Cricetulus griseus: one gene and its partners. The protein of the gene in region 3 interacts with the protein of the main gene of each other region in a pairwise test. Links are inferred from orthologs where the notes say so. Each region holds a gene or a part of one and is shown on either strand. Other genes may lie near its edges.

Region 1 (3,500 bases), on a different chromosome or scaffold from region 3:
TCACATGATAAGTCACATAGTTTCTCTTAGGCTAGGGATGTCACATTGACTGGCCAGTGAATAATGCTTGGCCATGCATGTTGCCTAAATAGGTACAGTTCTCAGAAAGAAAATGACATTGCAATTCAAGCCTTAACAGTCAGCTATACTGTGAGTGGTAGGGAGTACACGGAGGAAGTCCATTGCTCCAGGGAGTTTGTCTACTAACGTCACTTTTGGCTCTGACCTTGAATCAGCAAAACAGCTGGGAAAATGACCTCATGTATTTGTCTCTAGGGGCAACCAGCCTGCTTGGAATTTGTTGTCTTTGTGGCTAAGAAAACTTATTGCTTTCCTATGTCAGTCTCAATAATGAAAGATATTCATTATTCTATTCATCAAAATTATGCAGATTAAACAGAAATCATCTTCTTGACCAGCCACAGTTATATGTGTGCCCAATAGATGGAATATTTACGTGAGATAAACACATAAGCAGTGGGAAAACACCCACAGCAGTTCTTAGGGAAGAAATGCAGTGGCACATGAGAGAAATTACAGATACAGGCAACCAGTTTTCAGAGTCGGTGGTCCTGTAAGCCTTGCTTGACATGATTATCTCCATCAGAATTATTTGTCTGCTGGCTTGACACCTGAATTATCAATTGCCATATGCTGTATACTTCCCTGGCCCCCTGCAGTGCCCTGTTTTTAAGTTGGGTTGTTTGCTTTCTTGTTTAATTTTTGAATTCTTTATATATTCTAGATACTAACTCTGTTAGATATATAACTAGTAAAGATTTTCCCCAGTCTGTAGGCTGCCTCTTTATTCAAGTAATAGTGCCCTTTGCTGTACAGAAACATTTTAGTTCCCTGAGGTCCCATTTGCAAATTGTTGTCTTAATGCCTGTGCTATTGATGTTCTGTTTACAAAGTCTTTTGCTGTGCTAATGAGTTCAAGTGTATTTTCTACCTAGCAGCAAACCTTCTGTGCAGTTACAGGATGCTCACAATCTTCAGGAGTCTAGGAAAGGTGCTCAGGGCTTTTCTTCAAGTAGTGGGTGCTGGTAGACTTGGTGATAGTTGTCTGGGATCCCTATGTGAAGAGGAAGGCCAAGAGTGGAGGGCTGGAAGGCAGGTGCTGGCTACGTGGTCCTCAGGCAAGCTTCAGGTATGGGTGGCATTGCTGATTTGGAGAGAGGATGGTCCTTGTGTAGTAGGGATGAGTGGAGTTGGAGCAGGAGCCTGGTGTCTGCCTCGAGAAGGGACCAGGTGTTTGCAGTAGAGATGGATAAAGCTGGCCCAAGTGAGTGGAACTGAGTTATATGGGGAATATAATCTGTCTTATATAGGCATGGTTCAGGGTCCCTCAGAGTGGGTAGGTAAGAATAGTGCAAGTTGTGGCTCCCTCCTGTTCAAAGAGGAGGTGAGTAGCAAGGGATGCAGCAAGTAAAAAGACGCATTCTTAAACAACAGTAACAAAAAGATTGTCATTTACTACTGATCCATGGTATCCATTTGAAATTTCATGGATTTGTTGCAAATGACATTGCTTGAATTATGGTATAAGTAAAGTAGGAATATAAAAAGGAAATCAGGATTGGGAACATGGTCAATCTGGTTTACCTAATAAGGTTAAGGACCTGAGTTTGATTCTCAGTTCTATGTAAAATTGCTAGCCATGTTCATACACACTTGTAATCCCAGAGCTAAGTGAGGAGGCAGAGGCAGGAGAATCTCTAGTGCTCATTGGCTATCCCCTTAGCTTCATGGGTAAGCTCCAGGCCAGTGGGAGACATTGTTTCAAGGTATGTTGTGGATGTTCCTGAGGATGACTGACACTTGAAGTTGTCTCCTGACCTCCACATGAACATACACTGTGTGTGCACGCTCACATGTGCTCGCTCACACATACATACACACACACACACACACACACACACTTTTTAAAAAGTTAACCTGACTTTACTTAATAGGAGAATGATTGGAATGTAGGAAATGTTTCTGATACTGAATTCTAGATATCAGCCACTGTGATTGGTATTTAAAATAAGGCTTTAAATGTATTTTTTCCCTTAACTTTTAAAGCTAGTACTGTAGAAAGTGAATACTTGAACATCTGAAGTGATTATATAGATTATGGTATTCATTGCGTTTACACATGGAAAATGTTCGGTTAAAAATAGTTATATATTAAAGTGTTCTCTGCAAGGTCAGAAACTTACTTCATTTGTATTTTTAATTAGGAAAATATATTGGCGAGGATTCATTTTCACTTGGTGCCGAGCAGGGATGCAGACATGTGCACATCCAAATCATGTGTCACTCACCAGAAGTTTGCTATGACTCTGTATGAACAGGTAAGATGTCTTCATTATCTAATTAAATGCTAGACTTCTGTCTCGGGATTGATAGAGTAAGCCTATGTTTTTGCCTGTAGTGTGTGTGCCGCAGCTGTGGAGCATCTTCAGACCCTCTACCCTTTACAGAGTTCGTGAGGTACATTTCTACGACAGCCCTGTGGTAAGCCCTCTCAGCGTATTTAACAAAGTATAAGAGCATGTGTAAGCACAGTGACATTTATTCTGTAAAGTTTTTAACATAGTATGGATTTCTCTGTGTGATGCTATCAAATGGGCTTTCACACGGGAGCCTAAGAGCTAGCTTTCTCAGCTGGAGGCTTAGGACTTAGCATAATATCAGTTACCTGAAGTGCTTGACTAAAGTTTCAAATTTTGGTTTGGACTATTTGCATATTTGTAATATAGTATGTTTCGGGTACAACCCAATGCTAAAGATGGGATTCGTTTGTTTAATACATATCTTATATCAATAATCTGATGGTAATTTATGAAGTATTCATAGAGAACCTGCATCTTAAATGTGACCCATTATGTAAACTTAGGTTTAGAATTTACCATTCGTAACATGATTTCAGCACTCAAAAAATTTCAGATTTTGGAGCATTTCAGACTAAATGCATTGTTAAGTAAAATGTACAGCATTTATATCTTTTGTATTCATAGCTTGAAATGAGACACTCATTGGTAAATGGACTGCACATGATATCTTCATCTTTACTAAGATGGTCCCTTTGTGTTAGCCTTGTTTCCCACCACATTCATTGTCTCCTTATGATGGTAAAAGCTAGGCTAAAGGAAAAAGAAAGGAAATGTGAACATAATCCTTATGTAGGTTCTTGGATTTGAAACCTCAACAGTCACCTTAAGATTCTGCCATGCTTACTGCCTGCCTGTCTGCCAGCTCCTTCCCTCTCCATGAAACAGCTAGATAAGATGCAAAATCTGTCCTAGACTTTATGTACCACCAGTCAATCAAAGTTACTCAGAAGTCCTTTACGGAGGATGGAGATTGAAACTCACATCCATCTGATTGCAGAACGAGCAGTTACTCTGGTACTGTCAGTTCTGTGAAATGGCCTTGTGCAGTGTGAATGCTTATCAGAGTTTGAGTGTGTTCTAGCATACCTGTGCAGTATGCTAGGGGAGTACTTTTGGTTG
Region 2 (3,500 bases), on a different chromosome or scaffold from region 3:
ATACACATACACTAACAGACAATGGATAGGTAGGTACTACTCCCATGTCTTGATTAACTTTTACTTCTGTGATCTCCCTTGGCATCTCCAGATTGAATGATGTTGAATGATAGTTACCTGTTTTAAAGTGTATGAATAAATAGTTTGATTTTATTTAGTCTTCTCATAAAGCCTTTTCAACCTAAAGATGGCCCAGTGGAGCAGTAAGTGTCATTTCATTTTTCACATGAAGGAGGGTAGCTCTGAAATATTAAATGCCATAACTTGCAATTATATCCACCATTACTCCCTCCCTCACCAAGTAGAATTAATCCTTATTCAACTTTGTGTTTTTATTCTAATTTTAATCTATATATATTTGGGAGTTTTTTATCTAAGAATTTTATTATACTTATGTATGTGTGAGTGCTTGGGGTTTTATCATGGTGCACCTGTGGAGGTCAGATGACAACTAGTAGGAATCTGGTCTCTTTTCTACCATGTGGGTTCCAGAGTTTGAGCTTAGATTGTCATTCTTGGTCACAAGCCGTCTTAGCTGCTGAACCATTTCATTCTCCTGGGGCTTTTCCTGTCTAATCTCCACAATTTCATTTGTGTCGACATGTAAAGATTATCTCATTTTTTGTTCATATACAAAAGTTGTTACTTTACCATCTTTGTTCACCTGGAATCTCTTTTAGGTAATCCTTTAAGTAGTTCTCTGACCTTAATTTATTTCTGCCTGTTGATTTGGTTACTATGCTCAAAATACTTGATAAATATAGAAATTGAGTTGTAAAAGTATAGTAATATGCTGGGTGGTGGCGGCGCACACACCAGCACTCAGGAGGCAGAGGCAGGTGGATCTCTGTGAGTTCCAGGCCAGTCTGGTCTACAAAGCAAGTTCCAGGACAGCCAGATAGCCAGCACTATTACACAGAGAAACCCCATCTCAAAGAACAAAACCAAACAAACAAAAAAGTATATTAATATAAATAACTAGTCCTTAAAAGGATACAACTATTTCTGTGAAATATTTTCCTTGTGTCGAAATACTAGATTTTAGTGAATTTATACACTATGGCAAGAAGAAAAGGGAAGGTACTTTTACTTTCCTTCTAAAATTAAAACAAGCATTTAGACTTTAAAGGTAATTCCTATGTCAAAATGTGTAACTTTTCATTTTCATTTAGAAAAATGAAAGTCGTCAACTCACTCAGATTCAGTACACAGCGTGGCCTGACCATGGAGTACCTGATGATTCAAGTGACTTTTTGGATTTTGTTTGTCATGTCCGAAACAAGAGGGCTGGAAAGGAAGAACCGATTGTTGTTCATTGCAGGTATTTATATCCTGCCCTTAATGAATGAATAATTGGGTGCTTGGGGGAATACATAGTGTATTTTGACCTTTTATTATGATTAATACTGTGATATTTAGATCGAAAGTTGTGTTCCGAGGTTGAAGGCAAAGGGGATATTATAATAGTACTGTGTCAGAAACTATGGAAAGGAAAAAAAATAGCCACTTTCTTAGCTCTTTTCCTATTTTAATATCCTGAAATTGGAATGTGTCTTATAATTGATTGTAAGTTAGATTTGATGAAATACTGCCTTTATCTTCATGTGTTTGTGTTGGTATAACAAGATACTCAAAACTATGTAGTTAATAAAAGCAGAAATAGAGTTTTCAGTTTTGGATTGCAAAACTAAGTGTGGCCAGCAGAGGTCCTTAGTACACAAGCAAGGGGAGCTAATAAAGTGAAGCTAGCCTTGTGGGCCTCTGAAGCTTAGACAGTATGGAAAGCATCAGATCCAAATTGTCATCCTTCTTTTATATTTTAAAATTTTTGAGATGAGGTCTCCTATAATATGTGCAGGTCTTGTACCTTTTTTTGTAACTGGATAACCCTGAAATCCTGATCCTCAGTCTTCCATTTCCCCAATTCTGGAGTTACACATGTGTACTGCCATTCTTGTCTTAAAAAATAAAACTTTCATGTTTTTTTTTATTTTTGAATTCCCTTGCTTAAGTTTATCTGTTTGTGTTTTTCATTATTCAACACCTTTTTTTCTTTTCATTTTTAATCTCCTGGTTTTTTCCTCCCTTTTATAATTTGTCTGTATTCCTTTTCCTTTTATTTAACATTGCTTTTTATATCTGTTTTCTCTCCTTTCCTGGCTTCTTCCTTTATCTTATTCATTACAACTTCCAAATTTGTCTGAATGATTTTTAACTTCATAGTATACTTTCCATTAGTTTTGCCATTTTCTCCTCTTTGGTCATTGATGGTGTATTATGGGCTTTGATCAATTTTTTCTTTGTTTGGTTGGTTTTACTTTTGGTTTTTTGAGACAAGGTTTCTCTGTGTAGCACTAGCTGTCCTGGAACTTGCTCTGTAGACCAGGCTGACCTTAAACTCAGATCTGCCTGCCTCTGCCTCCTTAGTGCTGGATTAAAGGCATGCAACACTAATTCCCAGCTGGGTTTTGGTCAATTTTAACTGCATATCACATTCAGTGTAGTGCTATTGTTGATAAACCAATTTGTTTTCATCTTCCTTAGTGTATTGGGGGTTTAGCCTGCAAGAGTAGGCTTCACACTCAGCAAATCTCCAAAGAAAACTAAAATGAAAATCCACACCAACAGAAGCACAAATTAGGACACAGAAATACTCCTTGATTACTGAACTCAAAGATACTAAAACAGATAAAATGTTGGGTGAATTCAAACATTTTCTTGTAAAAATAATCGATGACTTCAAAGAACATACAAAACAAACAGATTAATGAACTAAGGATTTCACATTGGGACTTGGGAAGAAAAGTAGCAGAAAGGGGGACAAAGTAAGAAAGTGGGTGGGAAAGTTAATTTGCACATGAATGAGGAAATAAAGAAATTGAGATTAATAAAACAGAAATGTTGGAAATGAAAAACTGAGTAGAGCAAAATTTAAATATGGAATGTAGAAATCACCAATAGGCTAGACCGTAGCACAGATTAAACAGAGACAGCTATTGGGATTAAAGTGGGAGATTAGAAAGCAAGAGCATCCAAGCCACTAGAGAGTTCTTAATTCTACCAAGGCTAGGGGAGATCCTGTCCTCAGTATGACTGCAGTCTGCAATGCTCTCTCCACCACTGCCTGGTCTCTATGACTAACTAATATGGCTGGCTAGCTTTGCACTCTGATCTTCATGCAAACTTTATTTTTGTTAGATCATCAACAAAATATCACCACACTAGACTAAGCAAAAACAATAAAAGAACATCAGGATATGGACAAAGTTTGAAGAATGCTATACAAACATGATGGTTTAACAGCAAGCAAACAAAAAGACACAAACATAACTTTCAAAAACTGTAGGATATGCTCAAGAGAAATAACCTAGAAGTCTGTGGGATGGAATGAGTCAATGTAAAAGCTAATGGTCTAGAAAATGTATTCAATAAAATCATAGCAGTTTCCAAGTCTAGGGAAGAAATAAACATCTAATCCCAAGTGGTATTTAGAGCCCTAA
Region 3 (4,188 bases):
GTAAGACTCTGTCTCAAAACAAAAGAATGGAGTTTCCTAAGTGCACTTCAGGGATTTCAAAGCAAATAAACAAAGAATAACAAAACTATATAATAAGGGGCCGGGTCAGTTCTCAGGTGACACTGTCTAGCTCAAATTCTGGTTTAGTTATATACTAAATTTGTGACCTTACAAGTTACTGGATTTCTAGTTCTTTCGTCCAAAAACTGGAAATATTTTAATAAATGCACATTGCAATATTTCACTCACTATATTGTTACCGACAGTAACTTCTGTAAGGCACAGAAAGTCCTCAGCAAAGCATCTGGCATACAATAAGCAGTCAATAAGTGTCAGCTATTAATATTATATATGCCTCTCTAAAACTCAAGTAATCCCTATGTAGCTTTAAAACAAAAAGAGCTTAATGGGGGGGGGGCAAAGATTAAGTATCCATCATAAAGTAAAAAACAGCAAGTGAACTGACTGCCCTAAAGAGAAAATAGGGTACATGACAGAACAAATTGCCACAATGCCAATGAACTTTCCTACCCCACCCACAAACTGGCAATCTCCTCTCTTAGACCAACCATCTATTTTGAAAAGGTGGAGCTGCTGAGATATAAAACCACAATGCCCAGGTATGGAGAAATATCAAACTAACAAACCTGCCTGCTACTATTCCCAAGTTTTATAACAAAACACATAGAGAGAAAGCTGAGGACTGAAATTTTCTACCCTACTATTGGAAATAAAACCTGGGCTTCCCTAATGCTAGGCAAATAAACTACCACTGAATTATATTCCCAGTCCCACCCCCATCCTAACTTTTTATTTTGAGGCAGAGTCTTACTAAGTTCTCCAGGATAGCCTGGAACTTGTAAAATCATCTTGCTTCGGTCTCCCAGGTGCTGGGATTACAGGCATTAACTATGACATGTGGTTGGAAATTGAATTTCAATGACAACATACCATCCTAGTACTGCACTTAACATAAAATAGATACCTTGCAGATGGCACAAATACCTTTAGGGCAAATGTGCTACATTAATATTCTTATTTTATTTTACATATTAAACCAATGAGACCTAGAAAGATCTAAATGTGTAAACTAAAAGGACCTCAATACTAAATTCTTCCCTTAACTTGTGTGTGCTAACAAAAAGAACTATCTTTATCGCACCTCATTTCAGGCCAAAGTGAATAAATCTAAGTTAGGACTATCCTAAAAAGGGCAGGTCTGCTATGGTTAGCCAAGGAGTCTTCATTCATGAGACTGGCTCAGATCTAGGAGAAAAAGGCTTTCACTTCAAACATCCAGAAAGCAAGAAACTTGATGCATTACATACATACACAGACAAAGGCAATCACAGAATCACTCTGTATCTCAAAAACCTCAAGTGCTAAGTGGATGTATTTCCTTAACATTGCCAGACAACTCCAACAGTATGGGCAAGGCGGTTACAATTCATTGATCCTTGACAAGACCCCGTGGGATAACTAAAATGCTTGGTGTTATCTTTACAGACAGGTCTGTTCTTGTATCTTGGAAGACTTTGACTACAACACCAACTTACTGAGCAATAAAAGACCCAGAAGTACATGACTGACACTGTTTAAACCCAAGGAGAATGAAGCTCCATTCACTTCCAGGGTTGTTCTCACTGGCTTATACCTGGTTTATTTTCTGAAGGAAAAAAAAAAAAAAAACCTTTCCCCCACTAATCACTTTGAAACTAGAAACTCTAGTTGCAGCAGGCAGTCTTTTGGACACTTCAAACCTCTTGGACAGTTTGCCAGCTAGGCTTCAATTACTCTGGGCTGGTCACAGAAGGCTTTTTTCTATTACCAAGTCACTTAGTTCACCACCTTCGTATTCCACAAGGGAAGAACACGGTAAAAAGATTTTGGAAAAATGCCCAAGAAAGGAAAAAACCGACCGGCTTCCTGAGGGTGTCTCCATCCCTCCCAGCCAGCCAGTACGTGGTGACTTCCTACCGAAGGCCACCAGGGGAGTATGGCCAAAACCGGCTCTAACACTGCAGGAAACGTTTCAAGCCTAAAAGCCACTTGTAGGATTAGCAGATCCATTCTGGGCACCTCTGCCAAATTGTGTCCCCGCAACATCCCCACTAACTCTTTGTCCCCAAGTTGCCTGGCCCTGCCCTGCCCTTGGGCCTGACCCTGGCGCCCAGCCCCACCCCGGGGCCGCAGCAGTTCCCCTTCCCCGGCTCCCAAGGCACACCCAGAGGCCTCGGTGAGCAGCTCCTCCTCCCCCACAATCCCGCTCGTCGGTGGGAACCAGCCTGGGCTGAAGGCAGCTCCCCCGCCAGGGTCACTCCTGCCCTCTCTGCCCACGTCCCTCCTCCTGAAGCGGACCAGAGTTCCACGGCCCTCACCCCCGCCCGGGGCCTCCCGCCCGCCTGTCCCTCACCCGGCGGAGGCTGAGCGGGCGACGGAGGCACTGGAGGGCGCGGGCCGCTGCTGTTGATGATGTAGTGGGAGACACGCGAGTTTTCCGAAACGCTGAGCACATAGTCCCCGGGGCTGGTGCTCGAGTCCCGCACCAGGAACACCCCGTGCCGCTGGCCCTGCAATAGCGCCACCGCCTCCTGCCGGCTCAAGCGGCCCCAGTACCAGCTACTCCGCTCCTCCGAGTCGAAGTTGCCCGCCATGGCCGCCTCCGCGCCTTCACGCTGGGCCGCCGCCGCCACGCGCGCCCCTCCAGCCCTGGCGCCCGCCGCCCAGCGGACCGGCTCCGGTGTCAGCCTCCCAGCAGCGCCCGAAATGGCGGCGGCGGCCGCGGGCCTTCCCCACCGGAAATGACGCGCTCTCTACCCGAGGGAGGCTGCCGGGAAGGGGGACCGCCGCCCGCCATTGGGAGAAGGGAAACGGAGTCCTTGGGGCCCGCAGTGCGCACGCGGCTTCTTCATGGGCGTCGCCTCCAGGTCCAAACCCTGGCGACCGAGGATGGGGAGGCGGAGTCTAGGACTAAGGGGCGGAGCTTCAGTCTGCAAGCTGACTGATGTGTGTCTGACAGATTGGTGGCCTAGGTCTTTCGCCCAGGACCTACAGGAGTGGAGTAGTAAACGGTCCCAAGATGTTAGCCTCCCTCAAAGCTCCCTGACAAGCTGGTATTTTTCTGCTGTTTTCTTCAGTTTCCCCCGAGGTAAGCAGAAGTTCTTGTTACTCAGTAACAATCATAGACGTTACATTTCCCTGCAGGTGCAGTGGTGATCCAGACTGGGCCGTAAGTCACCAAATTCACAGACCAGTGGGAGGAACCAGGAAACAATTAATGACAAAGGAACAACAAATGCTATGATGGAAAACAGGAATATAAAGAGATCAACTAGGCAGTCTGTAGAGGGATCCAAGGGACTGGTAATGTGACTCATGACTGTAACACCAACACTTAGGAAACTGAGACAGGAGGATTACTGTGAGTCTGAGGCCCTACCTTACAAAACCTAAACAACAAACAAGGGTCCACAGATGAGGTGGCTTGAATGATTGGGTGTTGAATGGCAAGTGGGGAAGGATACTCAATGCAAAGAAAACAAAATGCTCAGACAGGAGAAAGGATTGAGGCTCCTATGTCAACCAGACAGTTTCCTCTATATTCTCAGTTGTAGTGATGGATGTCTCCTACTCTCACTTGCTTCATGATCATGATCATCTCTCTCAATTTTTTTTTACTTTGAAATGAAAAAAATTGTTTTTGTTTTTTTGAAACAGGGTTTCTCTGTGTATCCCTCTCTGTCCTCTAACTCACTCTGTAGACCAGGCTGGCCTCAAACACAGAGACCCACCTGCCTCTACCACCCGAGTGCTGGGATTAAAGGCGTGTGCCATCACCAATGCCCTGCTTGACATGAAATCTTATGATGTAGCCCAGGCCGACTCAAGATCCTTCCACGCCAGCCTCCCCAGTACAGGGATTATAAGAATGCACCAACATGCCTGGCTGGCCACTATTGCTAAGATTCCAGTGCACAGCCCGCCTGCTGCTGTTCCTTAGTTTGGCTTGCTGGATGACACTGTAATAGCCATCAGTACAAGTTTTCTAAATACAAATCTGTTGTTACCCTGCATAAAACTTTGAAAATCTTTAAAACTTCCAGTTTAGGGGCTGGAGAGATGGCTTACCAGTTAGGAGCACTGACTGTCCTTCTAGAGAACTCGAGTTCAATTACCAGCACGCACATA
Region 4 (3,500 bases), on a different chromosome or scaffold from region 3:
AGGTTCAACCCTCATAATGGGCTTGGCTTTTTCAGAAGTGAGGGAGATGTGAGCTTGGGTCCTTCCTCTTGAAAACAGCTCTTACAAGCTGAGCCACATCCTTACTTCATTTTGAGATGACTAAGGTAACACCATTCTCTCCTGGTGTTATTTTGTGCCTACCTGGTCACTTCTCAGCCTTCCACCCAAACAACCACATTCACCTTGATAATGCTTCTGGGACTGTCCACAACCTTGATCATGTTCCAAAGGTATTATATAGTGTCTGGAAGATACTGATGGGGCCTGTAAAAGAAGCAGATGTTACTAGGCAACTCCAAATCCCTTACTAATCTTCCCCATTCCTCCAGTCCTGATGTAATTAATGTTTTGTCTTGCAAAAATTCTGTGCCCCTGTGCTTGGGCACCAAGAAACTTTGCAGAGATGAGAGCCCATTCTTGGTCTAGCCATTAATAAAGGACTCGGCACTTTAATTGATTTAGTCAGTGCCATTATCAGTAACTATCTTGCATGGATCATTTCATTTTTGTTTTAGGTATTTTTAAAAAATAATTTATTTAAATTTATTTTTTGTGCATTGGAGATACAGACAGTTGTGAGCTATCATGTAGATGTTAGGAATTGAACTTGGGTCCTCTGGAAGAACAGCCAGTGCTCTTAACTGCTGGGCCATCTATCTCTCTATAATTTCAGTTTTAGTGAGCACATTCTCCTAAATTTGTAACTCATTGTAGAATCTTATACAAGTTATGATTCTGAAAATGTAATGGCAAACAAATTTTGAAACCATTGGAAAGTAACTTTTTATTTTTGACAAATGCATCAAAGTTGACTACAATAGCCTATAAGTTACTATGTAAAGGTGTGCTAATAAAAATAATAAAAATATTCAACCTAAGGTATTCAATATAAGGTCTGTTGTATAAAAGTCAAGGTAGTTTGAGCTTTTTGTTTTGTCTTTTGCATTCTGGTTTTGTTTTGTTTTGGTTGAGACTGGTTTTGGTTTTTCAACACAGGGTTTCTCTGTGTAGTCATGTCTGTTCTGAAACTCATTCTGTGGACCAGACTGGTCTTGAACTCCAACAGTTCTTCTTGCCCTGCCTCCCCAGTACTGGGATTAAATGCATGCACCATCACCATAGGCTTGCCTTCCTTTTTATTTTGATGAAAGTCTCTTAAGAGGAAACAATGGTTTCCTTATCTTTTATGATTATGCATATAAATATTTTCTTCTAAAAGATTTTCAAAATATATTTAATGGATACACTTACAAACTGCACCCCCCCCCAACATAAATATTTTGGTGCCAGTTCCCAAAGTAACTTTTTTCTATAGATTTTTGAATCAAAATAATGAATAAAATTATATTAAATAATGAGTCTTGAGAATAAAATTCCAAAGTCTATCCCTTCTTCAAAAACATGGCCACTTTAATGGATAAAGATACTTGCTACCAAGCCTGACCACATGAATTCAATCTCAAGAACCCATGATAATGGTAGAAGAAGAGAACCAATTCCTGCACATTGTCCTCTGACTATATATGCACACTATTGTTACACACACACACATAAATGTTAAAAGTTTAAAAAACTAAAAGGGCAATTGTTACCTCAAGTTTTATATATTAGTGATCTCTGATTTCATACTGAGGTTGCACAAAGAACACTCTTATAAGGGTCACATAGAAATAACTTTAAAGAAGTTACTTCTTTATTGGCTGTCCTTTTTTTTTTCCTTGTTTTTTTGTTTGTTTGTTTGTTTTGTTTTGTTTTGTTTTGTTTTTAGTTTTTCAAGACAGGGTTTTTCTGCATTGCTTTGGAGGCTGTCCTGGAACTTGCTCTGTAGACCCAGGCTGGCCTCGAACTCACAGAGATCGGCCTACCTTTGCCTCCTGAGTGCTGGGATTAAAGGTGCAGCTTATTGGCTGTTCTATTAACAGGGCATTTATAATGTAATCTTTGTGTTTTCTATGATGTATAAAAATATATATGACTTGTATAGTGTTTCCCTTTTAAAATGTTTGTGTAACACTTTTTGTTTTATAAAACCAGCTTGATAAAAGTAAGCTGAAGCCAGGAACAAGAGTTGCTTTGGATATGACTACACTAACTATAATGAGGTGGGTTTCTTATTGTTTAGTTTGTTTCATTTTCAGATGGAAAGTTTTCTAAAAATACAGGATTTGTGCAGTCATCAAAGATTTTACTACTTCTTACCATTTACTTATTTACTAAATTAAATATTTTTAGAAAGTACTTACAGGTGCTTGCATAAGTAAATTGTTTATACTTACTATGTAAACTGAGAGGAAATAAGTCTTTTGAAAGAAGAACACCTGATTTTTTCATTTTAGGTATTTGCCAAGAGAGGTGGATCCTTTGGTTTACAACATGTCTCATGAGGACCCTGGAAATGTTTCTTATTCTGAGATTGGAGGGTTGTCAGAGCAGATTCGGGAGTTACGAGAGGTGAGTTCTATTTCTCTATCTGAGACTACTGCACTACTGCTTTTTGGATACCTGAAGAGAGAAACACAATGCAAAAATCTTTCTTTTTAGTTTGTGTATATTAATATATTTGAAATTCTGACTGAGAGTAGCAGTGAATTTTAACTATCGACCTAGTTAGTACTTGTTATTTTGGAGATGTTTAGTGTTAGGAAAATTCCTCTTGTGGCAAAAAAGAAAAAGGAGGTGAAGAAAAGGGAAAGTGAATAATGATTGATATAATCTAATGCCCTTGCCATTTATAGTTTTTACTGTCTTTAGTGTACCTAGGTCAGAGCACATAGGGCAACCCACTATGTGGTTTTTTTTCATAAAGACAGTAATATTGACATCTCAGTATAATAGGAATTATTGTTACCTTTGGCGTGTATGTTTTTATTTATTCAAACTATTTTCAAACTATTTGTTGCACTTTAGGAAAGTACTGGCTATAGAAGTCACTTAAAGTTTTTAGACTTTTTTTTTTTAATTTAACTTTTTGGGTTTTTCTATGTAGCCCTGGCTGTCTTTGTAGACTAGGCTAACCTCAAATTCACAGAGATCCGGCTGCCTTTGCTTCTCAAGTCTAGAACCACCACCATCCTGCTCAATTTTTAAGCCTTTTTTTTTTTTTTTTTTTTTTTTTTTTTTTTTTCGAGACAAGGTTTCTCTGTGTACCTTTGGAGCCTATCCTGGCACTCACTCGCTCTGGAGACCAGGCTGGCCTCGAACTCACAGCGATTCGCCTGCCTCTGTCTCCCGAGTGCTGGGATTAAAGGCCTGCGCCACCAATGCCTGGCTAATTTTTAAGCTTTTAAGGGATGGAATCAGGTTAGGATTGCCTGGTCTTGTAACCCAGAAAGTTACATTGTGGTATTGATTTATTTTCCCTGTTGATAGCCTAAGTATGATGAATGACTGAGAAGGGTTGGGAGTAGTTCATAGTGGTTCATAATTTTTAGGCCTAAGCTCATTAAACTTTCTGAAAAGTATAGGCTCCTTGGGCTGTT
Region 5 (3,969 bases), on a different chromosome or scaffold from region 3:
GGCAAGGGAGAAAAGCTGTTTTAGGGGGAGCTCTCAAAGGAGATGTCAAAATATGAGGAGAAGAGGGGTGGTGGCATCTGGGGAGTGTTAGTGGGGTACCCTGGAAAGGCAGCATGTGACCTACCATTAGGAAAGCATAGAGTTTCCCCTCTCCTCCAAGCTTACCAGGGCTCCTTCTTACCTGGAGCCACTCCCCATGTCTCCCTGCTTTGTAAAGTAGTCCTCCAGAGGCAAGGAAGCAGTCCTGAGCCTGGACAGAAGCAGTAATCCCCTGGTATGGTATGTGGCCTCCAGGGAACCCAAATGGTGGTGGCTCACAGCCCAGAGCAGCACTCCCTGAGGGAGCCAGTAGTAAAGGTCTCAAGGTTGTAGCAGTTGATCTCTGGTGGATAGTGCTAGCCGTGCCAAGGACAACAGACAGCCTACCTAGGCCTGGCATACCTCTGAGCCCAGAACTGGGACAGGAGCTGGTTCTAAATCTGTCCTTTTTGGAAGCCTGTGGCCCATCTGTGAGAGGGGTAGGTGTGGGCTTCAGGGTGTGTGTGTGTGTGTGTGTGTGTGTGTGTGTGTGTGTGTGTGTGTGTGATTGCGTGTGTCTGTGTCTGTGTGTGGGAACCAGAAAACTCCTCTGGGAGTAGTGCTTATTTTTAGTTGTCTCCCTAGTCCCAAATAAACTGAGAGCAGCTGGGAGCCTGTGGGTAAATGCAGAGGGAAGCAGAGACAGGAAATCGGGGGCTCTCGGTAATGAGTTCCAGCCACACCAGAAAGGAGAAGCCAGACAAGGCATTTTCTTCCGGACTGTTTCCCTCTGGCAGGCTCTGGTATTATCACTGAGAAGGTTCCCATTGCCCACGTGTGAGTGAGTGTATGCGTTCAAGTGTACGTGTGTTTACAACTCCAGCCTCCCCTTTTGATGAGGTTTGATTGCTCTGAAGGACTCTGAAGTCAGTCTTGGTCTCTCTCTCTGTGTGTCCATGTGTCTGTGTGCCTGCCTGCCCGCCTGCCTGCCTGCCTCTTGTGGGGGCGGTGGGGGAGGACCCTGGAGCAGCACCGTCAAGTCTGAGTCTTGTGTATCTGAGCCTGTTAGGGAAAGAAAGGCTATAGGACACAGGCCAGGGAAGTAGGGAAACTGGAACACAGCTTGCTGTTCCTGCGGGGGAGGGGGCAGAGGCAGGGAGGAGGAGAGGGCTTGAGCTCCAGCCAGAATAAAGGGCTTTTTCTCAACTAAGGACTCTAACTGCTGACATGGGTCCCCAGCATGGATGGGGACATTGATGTTTACAAGCATTTCTCGTGGCTGAAGAGGGTAAGTGACTGGCTGCTTTGTCTGGGTCTCTCTGGAGATGAGTAAGGAGAGAGACACTTTGGGGGTGTTTGGCTGTGTGTGTGTGTGTGTGTGTGTGTGTGTGTGTGTGTGTGTGTGTGTGTGTGTGTGTGATGGGGGGGAGGCAGTTGTCCAGAGAACCCTTTTGTGGCCAAGTTCTTCATGAGACTCTAATTATAGACACTAAGGGAGAAAACAGGCAGCTGCCTTTGTTTCTGCCCTGACAGCCTAGTGAATGAACCTCTGTACTGAAAGGCAAGAATAGAGTGAGGAAAGTTAAGTTATTTTAATGTTGGCTCTTCAGCATTCAGGATCTCTATACACTGTGGCCTAAAAATTATGCCTACTGTTTTTGGGTCTTAAGACACATAGAGGAAGCTGCTACTGTCTTAAATGCCTGAATTCGGAAGTCATTTAACTCATTCTCATCCTTGATGCTATCTGGAGTAGAGGGTATATCTGTTGCCAGCCCAGTGAGCTTCTGTGTTTCTGGAGGAAGGCTCCAGGGTAGTTCTCTTTGAAGTGTACTGAAGCCCAGGATTTCATTTGCAAGTTGTTTGTGCCATTTCTGTAGGCATTTGTGTAGAGTGCGAATCAGCAGTGAATGAACCTTGGGGGCCAGATGACATTGTGCTCAGAACTCTGGTGTTCTCTTGTAAGGTGGGCTCACATTCATTTTATAGTGGGGAATTCTAGGCTGAATATGTTTGAGAGGGAGGAAGGTCAAAAGCACCTGACAGATAAGAGGTTTGACATTGTAACTGCAGAAGGACGGGAAGTGTCCTGCTTGGAAGGGACACACAGAACTTCACTGTCCTGCTTCCAAGCACTGGGCTGGCTGGCTTTTTGTGTGCCCTCTGCAGCTGCAGTGCTTCCTTAGCAAACACTCAGCTCCTGGTACTGTGTGGACAGCAGTGAGCAAAGCTGAACCAACCTTAGAGGGGAAAGGAGGCCAAACAGTCCCAGGAAATAGACATCAGACTACAAGCACACAGTAAGAAAGGCTCAGGAGGGCTGTTGATGATTGCAGAAGAGGGTCAGGAGCCCTCTTTGAGGACATAGCACTTTACAGAAACATGAAGCGAGTTGTGTGGAATATAGGGTGAGAAATACTCCAGGCCAAAGCAAAGGTGGGTGGTGCATGTGCAAAGGTCTTGAGGCAGGAGAGGCTGGCTGGTTTCAAGACAGAGAAAGCCATTGTTGCTGGACTCAGTAATGGTGGATAGAGACAAGTGGATGCCAGATCACACAGAACAGTGAAGGCCATGTAGGAGCAGTAGGTAACAGTGGTCTGTAATGATCAGGTTTGTAGTGAGGAAGCAACATGGGATGTAGCATGGGAACCAATTTATATTTAAGAAGATCCCTCTAACTGTGATGTGGTATGCGGTAAGCAGTGTTGGGAAAGTGAGGCATCTGAGACATGATTAGAGAGTTGGATGGGCGATAGGAGGAGCCAGCTAGTACCAGATTTCATTTAGCAAAACCCAAGAGAGGCCGAGGCCATTGCGAATGCTGGTTAGTTAGTGGTCCAGCAGCTTGGTCTTGAACCATTTTCTCTGTCTCTTGGTCCTGTTCCTTTCTCAGTTCTGCCAAATATGCAGAAAATGATTGGTTCAGAATGTAACAGAAATTCTGTCTGTATTCAACCCTTGCTTTGCAGGGAGTAGGGCATCTCAGCCACCAGAGAGCATGCTGAACAACAGGACCTTTTGGCAAAGATCTGTGCCATACTAAGCTATGTTAGGGAGATCCTGGAGTGTGCAGGGAAAGAGCATACTTAGTCTTTGTGTCCTGATTTCCAAAATGAAGCTTTTAACTGAGAGGGTCTGCAAGTCACCATGTGCCTGGGATAGGAACCGTACCTGTACCCCACACAGGTGCTGTGACTGGTCCTTTGACAGAGGTTCTTTCCTTAGGAAGCAATTCTGGCCAAGTGAGAATGTTCTGTCTCTCCCAAGATGCAGGATGGACTCTTCAAGCCAGACAACAACTTCAGAACCTCCACAGAACCCATAGCAAATATATTTTCTCCACTTTTAGGATTTTAAGAGTCATTAACAACAATAAATCAAACATCAAGTATTGGATGTATCCTAGCTAAAATATATTCTTTGGTGGTAGGATCTCTTCTTTACCCCAGATCCTCCTGCTCCTTCTGTATGTGAGCCTCTCGGACTCATCTTCAGCTTCTTCAGACTTTGGTTCCAACCTGTACCTTTTGCATTTCATTCTTTAGTAACCCCCAAGTATATATTTCCTGTTATTTTTATTTTTTAAGCTTTATCTCAGTTGTCCCTTTCTCTAATTCCCACCTTTATCTGATTCCATTAGGTCCATTGTTTGCAACCATTCCTTTGCTAACCTAGTCCCTTAAGGGCCCTCCAGTCCAGGTGTCCATCACTTCCCACCTATCTTCGTATGTGCTTACACAGAATACAGCTTTCGCTAAACATGCTTTTGGAGGTAGAGGCACTGTCTCTTTCATTCTTCTGCTTAGAAGAGGTAGGTTCTAGAAAAAGAGATTCCTGTATGAATTGTGAGCCTAGTGCACATGGTAGGAGCCTTGCCCTATGAGAAGAGGGTAATGTCTTGTAAGTGTCAACTATTACCAATCCCTCATTTACCACGCCCAAGAGAAGTCA
Region 6 (4,240 bases), on a different chromosome or scaffold from region 3:
CAGAAACAACACCTTGAGATGTTAAACAACTCTTCCATTGATCTTAGCGTGGAGAACCAATGTCTTGCCCGTCAGGCCTGGCATAGACTTTCTTCCTTTCGAAACACCTGGAACCCACATGGTGGAAACAGTCCTCAGACCTTCTGTGGATTGCCTTGGCACATGCATGACCAGCCCTCACACACGATAAACAAATAAATTCCCATGTCTCCAATCCCATTGATGTTTTCTCCAATTACACTGAGACAAAGCAAAATTCAACATGAACTTTTCCTTTTTGTTTGTTTCTCTGTGTAGCCTTGGCTGTCCTGGGCATGCACTAGCACCAGGCTGAACTTTGCTTTTTAAATTTTTATCTTATTTATGTTTATTATTATTATTTTGGGGACAGGGTTTCTTTGTGTAGCCGTAGCTGTTCCGGAATTCTCTCTGTAGATCAGGCTGGCTTTGAACTCATAGAGATCCACCTGTCTCCTTAGTGCTAGGATTAAAGGCTTGTACCACCACTTCCCAGTGGACTTTATAAACTATTAAGAGTAGGCAGATAGAAATGTACAGTTTTAAACCAGGTTTAGAGGCCTGAATTCCAGCACTGGGCAGGCTGAGACAGGAAGAACAGAAATGCAAACCTTGGCCAGGTGTAGTGAGGCCCCTTGATCCCAACATTCAGAAGCAGAAACTGGAAGATCTCTCTGAGCCCCAGGCCAGCCGGAACTTCATGAGACTGAAAGGAATTCACAAAAGTTGTCATTTTATTGGCTGTGGCTGTGGCTCAGTGGTAGACGGATTAGTATGCATAAACAAGGCTCTCCAAGAGCACTATCACCATAAAAACAAAACAAGCCCCCTGTGGTTTACAGAAAAGGAATTCACAAGGAACGAGAAATGGGTTGTTTTCCTCAAATCCAGGACTCTAATTTCATTCGCTAATTAGACAGGCTGTTCACACAGCTTGTTCGGAATTCTTTTGGGACTCCACTTTCCCTTTTCTTTTCTTTTCTTTTTTTTTTTTTTCTTTTTTTAAGATCAAGCTGGCCTCTAGGAGCTCAGAAAGATGCTCCTGTCTCAGGCAGCGGAACGGCAGGATTAAAGGCTTGTGCCACCCAACAATACTTGTAGTTTTTAGTTCCCCAGGAGCAGGGTGTGGCGGCTCATGACTCTAAGTCACACCTTTCTATGGCTGAGCAGACCCACCCTGGGAGTTTAGCTCATCTGGGCTGCAAAAGTAAGTTCTAAGCCAGTCTTCATTAAACACTAAAAAGCCTGCCACCGCCAGACTTCAGCACCAAAAATTGTTGGGGAGTGGGATCACGAGGGTGGTGGACGGAAGACAGCATCAAGGCAACAGGAAGTAGGAGGAGATTTCGAAAAGCTCACTGAGGCCAGAGGTCGTTTGGAAGCTGGAAGAATCTTCTTTCAGCGGTCTCATCTGATTTGAAGATGGAGCATGCTGAAAGCAAGGAGGTGAGAGCTGTTTTGTTTTGTTTTGTTTTGTTTGTGGCTCAGCTTTCTAAATAGGTGGGTCTCGTGCACACTCGGCCTTTGTTTGGGGGAGAGGAAGAGAACGAGAATTTGTTCCGTGCAGGTGTAGGGCTCAGCAGCGGGGCGCTCTTATGGCCTTAGACGAGGCGCCCCAGGGCCTGACTGCTGTAGGTGTAGTAGAAAGGGCGGTTGTGTTTTGGAAAGGGATGTTTTGCTTGGAAGGAATTTAGAGTACTGTGGCTGGAGGAAAGTGGTCACAAGGTAAAGCAGGTAAGATGAACCAGAGGCTTTTGGATAGCTGTCTGCTATATACCGGTGGAGAGCCAGAGGCCTTGGCCCACGAATCCTAGCTGAAGGGTTTCTAGGGCTTTCCAAGGGGAAGGCAGACTCAGAGGGACAAACCTTGCTGGTGCCTGACTGCAGGAGCCAGACTCGTGAGTGTGCTCCAGGTCTCCTTCCCAAGTTCCCGTCATTTCCAACTTTATTGTGTAAAAATTTTGTTAGGTCTAAAACTGAATTATTTGTGAAAAGGACACGCAAATGTAAAGCTGGATTGCGAATGTGAAGCTAGTTCCTATTGAGATGCAAAATAGCATCCAAATGTTAATTTATCTCACACTGCTGCTCTTGGGGGTGGAAGTCTGGCTTGGAAAGGCCTTACGTTTGGGAGCAAACTGACCAGGGTTTGCTTTTATTCATATATTTACTTATCTGCTGTTTTGAGACAGGGTTTCTCAATGTAACTGCCCTGACTGCCTTGGAACTCACTCTAGCCTCCTATTCACAGAGATCTGCCTGCCTCTGCATCCTGGATACTGGAATTAAAGGCACGGGTCACCACCACCACCCAGTTTATTTATAAAATAAGTTTATTTTACAACCCAGTGGTGGTGTCCTCCCTCCTCTCTTCCTAAACCTTCCCCCCAAGCCTGCCCCCGCCCTTTCGGTTCAGGAAAGGGCAGGTCTCCCATGAGTATCAACAAAACGTGGAATATCAAGTTGCAGTAATACCAAACACCTCCCCATGTATTAAGGCTGGGCAAGGCCACCCAGTCTGTGGAGTAGGGTCCCTTGCCTGTAAAGGAGTTTGAGATAGCCCCTGTCCCCGTTGTTAGGGATCCCCCAAGAGGACCAAGCTACCCAACTGTGTAACCTATGCAGGGTACCTAGGTCCCATGCAGGCTCCCTGGTTTTCCATTCAGTCTCTGTGAACTCCTATGAGCCCAGATTAATTGATTCGGTGAGTTTTCTTGCAGTATCTTGACCCCTCTGTCTTCTACAATCTTTCCTCCCCATCTTCTGCAGGATTCCCAGAACTCTTAATGTTTGACTATGACTCTGCATCTGTTTCCATCAGTTGCTGGATGAAGCCTCTCTACTGACAGTCTATGAGTATAGCAGAATATCGTTAGGCACCATTACATTGATAACTCCCCTCCCCCCGTAGTCGTATTTGTTTCTGTCCTAGGTCTCTGGGTCATCCAGCCTGTGGGTTCTGGTGTTCCGAGCAGTGTTGGGGTGTGCTCATTCTCCTGCCATGGGTTTTAGGTGGCCTGGCAAGAGACCCCACTCTTGTGGAGTTCTGCTCACAGAAGGGACCTCATGAATGGTTGCAGTCAGTCGACACGTAGAAATGAGGCAGTATGTGGTTAATTGACTGCAAAGAGATTCCAGCAAAATAACACTTGAAATGAGACCAAAGGAGTAAGGTATAAGAATTGAAGTAGACTTTTTGGGCTTAGAACCAAGGTCTGGGGAAAAACAATCTTTGGGGTGAGAGATAAAATGGAGGAATATGCAGGCTGCTTTCCCCCAAAAGCAGACTAGCACTCTATTGTCTTTTGTCACTTTCTCCCTTTTGCTTTTGTTTATATCTCATCTTGTACTTTTGATTTTGTTCTTTAGCCTCAACTTGGCCTGAGGCTCATTATGGCTTCTAACTCCCTTGGTGACCCTCCACTTGCTGCCCAAGGCTAAGATTGCAACTATAACAACGTATTTTTTTTTTCTCTTTCCTTCAAAGAGTCTCACAGGGGACTCACAAATTGTTCACACGCTTTTAATCCCAGCACTGGGAGACAGAGGTGGGTGGAACTCTGTGGTGAGTTCCAGGACAGCCAAGGCTGTTGTTACACACAGAGAAACCCTGTCCTTGAAGAAGAAGACAAATCTCCTAGTGCTAGGGTTAAAATTGTGTTGCCAACAAGCCTGTTTTTCCTGCTGGCACCCTCTCATTTTCCCCCAACCATTGTTTCCTTATTTCATTAAGTCAGACTGCTTATTCAAATGATGGCCCCTTAGAATTCACACTGGCAGCCATATGCAGTGACCTCATGAGGACCATAGATGTTAGTTTAGAGCAAGGAAGGAGATATGCTGGTTCAAGACACCAGATAACTGTGTAACTCCTCCATCCACAGTGCAGCAGCACAGGAGTGGCTTGCGAAGAGGAATGCCAGATGTTTAGTCAACCAAGTACATCCTTTGTAAAAGTTCCAGCAACGGGGAAGAGACAGAAAAAGACAGTGAAAGAGAATGGTGAGAGTCTGTGAATGCTTAGTCCTACGTCTTTTTATCTAAAACTTAAGAAATCTTCCTTAAGCATAGAAAAAGGGTGGAAAAGGCCTGTATGTACTCCTGAGGTCTAAGAGTTCCCAGCTCTCTTTTAAAAAGAAAGAAAAGGGGTGGGGCTGGAGAGATGGCTCAGAGAGGTTAAAGCGCTGGCTGCTCTTCCAGACGTCCTGATTTCAATTCCCAG

What was found.
Region 1: the proteins of Crk (region 3) and Usp53 interact in binary tests that used the Homo sapiens proteins (3 or more experiments, as listed by UniProt). The two-hybrid records come from large-scale screens. The link is inferred for Cricetulus griseus from reciprocal best matches to the Homo sapiens genes CRK and USP53.
Region 2: the proteins of Crk (region 3) and Ptpn4 interact in binary tests that used the Homo sapiens proteins (3 or more experiments, as listed by UniProt). The link is inferred for Cricetulus griseus from reciprocal best matches to the Homo sapiens genes CRK and PTPN4.
Region 4: the proteins of Crk (region 3) and Psmc6 interact in binary tests that used the Homo sapiens proteins (3 or more experiments, as listed by UniProt). The two-hybrid records come from large-scale screens. The link is inferred for Cricetulus griseus from reciprocal best matches to the Homo sapiens genes CRK and PSMC6.
Region 5: the proteins of Crk (region 3) and Ppfibp2 interact in binary tests that used the Homo sapiens proteins (3 or more experiments, as listed by UniProt). The link is inferred for Cricetulus griseus from reciprocal best matches to the Homo sapiens genes CRK and PPFIBP2.
Region 6: the proteins of Crk (region 3) and Dppa4 interact in binary tests that used the Homo sapiens proteins (3 or more experiments, as listed by UniProt). The two-hybrid records come from large-scale screens. The link is inferred for Cricetulus griseus from reciprocal best matches to the Homo sapiens genes CRK and DPPA4.

Annotation. Positions count from the first base shown.
Region 1 is NW_023276806.1:35,529,253-35,532,752, forward strand, and holds part of Usp53 (inactive ubiquitin carboxyl-terminal hydrolase 53), read left to right. Parts: intron 1-2,225; coding exon 2,226-2,339; intron 2,340-2,419; coding exon 2,420-2,502; intron 2,503-3,500. UniProt on the Homo sapiens protein: Deubiquitinase that mediates 'Lys-63'-linked deubiquitination of tight junction proteins, such as MARVELD2 and LSR, and which is involved in the survival of auditory hair cells and hearing.
Region 2 is NC_048598.1:68,819,343-68,822,842, forward strand, and holds part of Ptpn4 (tyrosine-protein phosphatase non-receptor type 4), read left to right. Parts: intron 1-1,172; coding exon 1,173-1,321; intron 1,322-3,500. UniProt on the Homo sapiens protein: Phosphatase that plays a role in immunity, learning, synaptic plasticity or cell homeostasis. Regulates neuronal cell homeostasis by protecting neurons against apoptosis.
Region 3 is NC_048600.1:89,144,120-89,148,307, reverse strand, and holds the start of Crk (adapter molecule crk), read right to left. Parts: upstream 2,801-4,188; 5' UTR 2,655-2,800; coding exon 2,414-2,654; intron 1-2,413. UniProt on the Homo sapiens protein: Involved in cell branching and adhesion mediated by BCAR1-CRK-RAPGEF1 signaling and activation of RAP1.
Region 4 is NW_023276807.1:201,334,725-201,338,224, forward strand, and holds part of Psmc6 (26S proteasome regulatory subunit 10B), read left to right. Parts: intron 1-2,055; coding exon 2,056-2,123; intron 2,124-2,357; coding exon 2,358-2,472; intron 2,473-3,500. UniProt on the Homo sapiens protein: Component of the 26S proteasome, a multiprotein complex involved in the ATP-dependent degradation of ubiquitinated proteins.
Region 5 is NC_048596.1:92,570,286-92,574,254, reverse strand, and holds the start of Ppfibp2 (liprin-beta-2), read left to right. Parts: upstream 1-1,169; 5' UTR 1,170-1,258; coding exon 1,259-1,306; intron 1,307-3,969. UniProt on the Homo sapiens protein: May regulate the disassembly of focal adhesions. Did not bind receptor-like tyrosine phosphatases type 2A.
Region 6 is NC_048597.1:42,777,674-42,781,913, reverse strand, and holds the start of Dppa4 (developmental pluripotency-associated protein 4), read left to right. Parts: upstream 1-1,440; coding exon 1,441-1,464; intron 1,465-3,902; coding exon 3,903-4,020; intron 4,021-4,240. UniProt on the Homo sapiens protein: May be involved in the maintenance of active epigenetic status of target genes. May inhibit differentiation of embryonic cells into a primitive ectoderm lineage.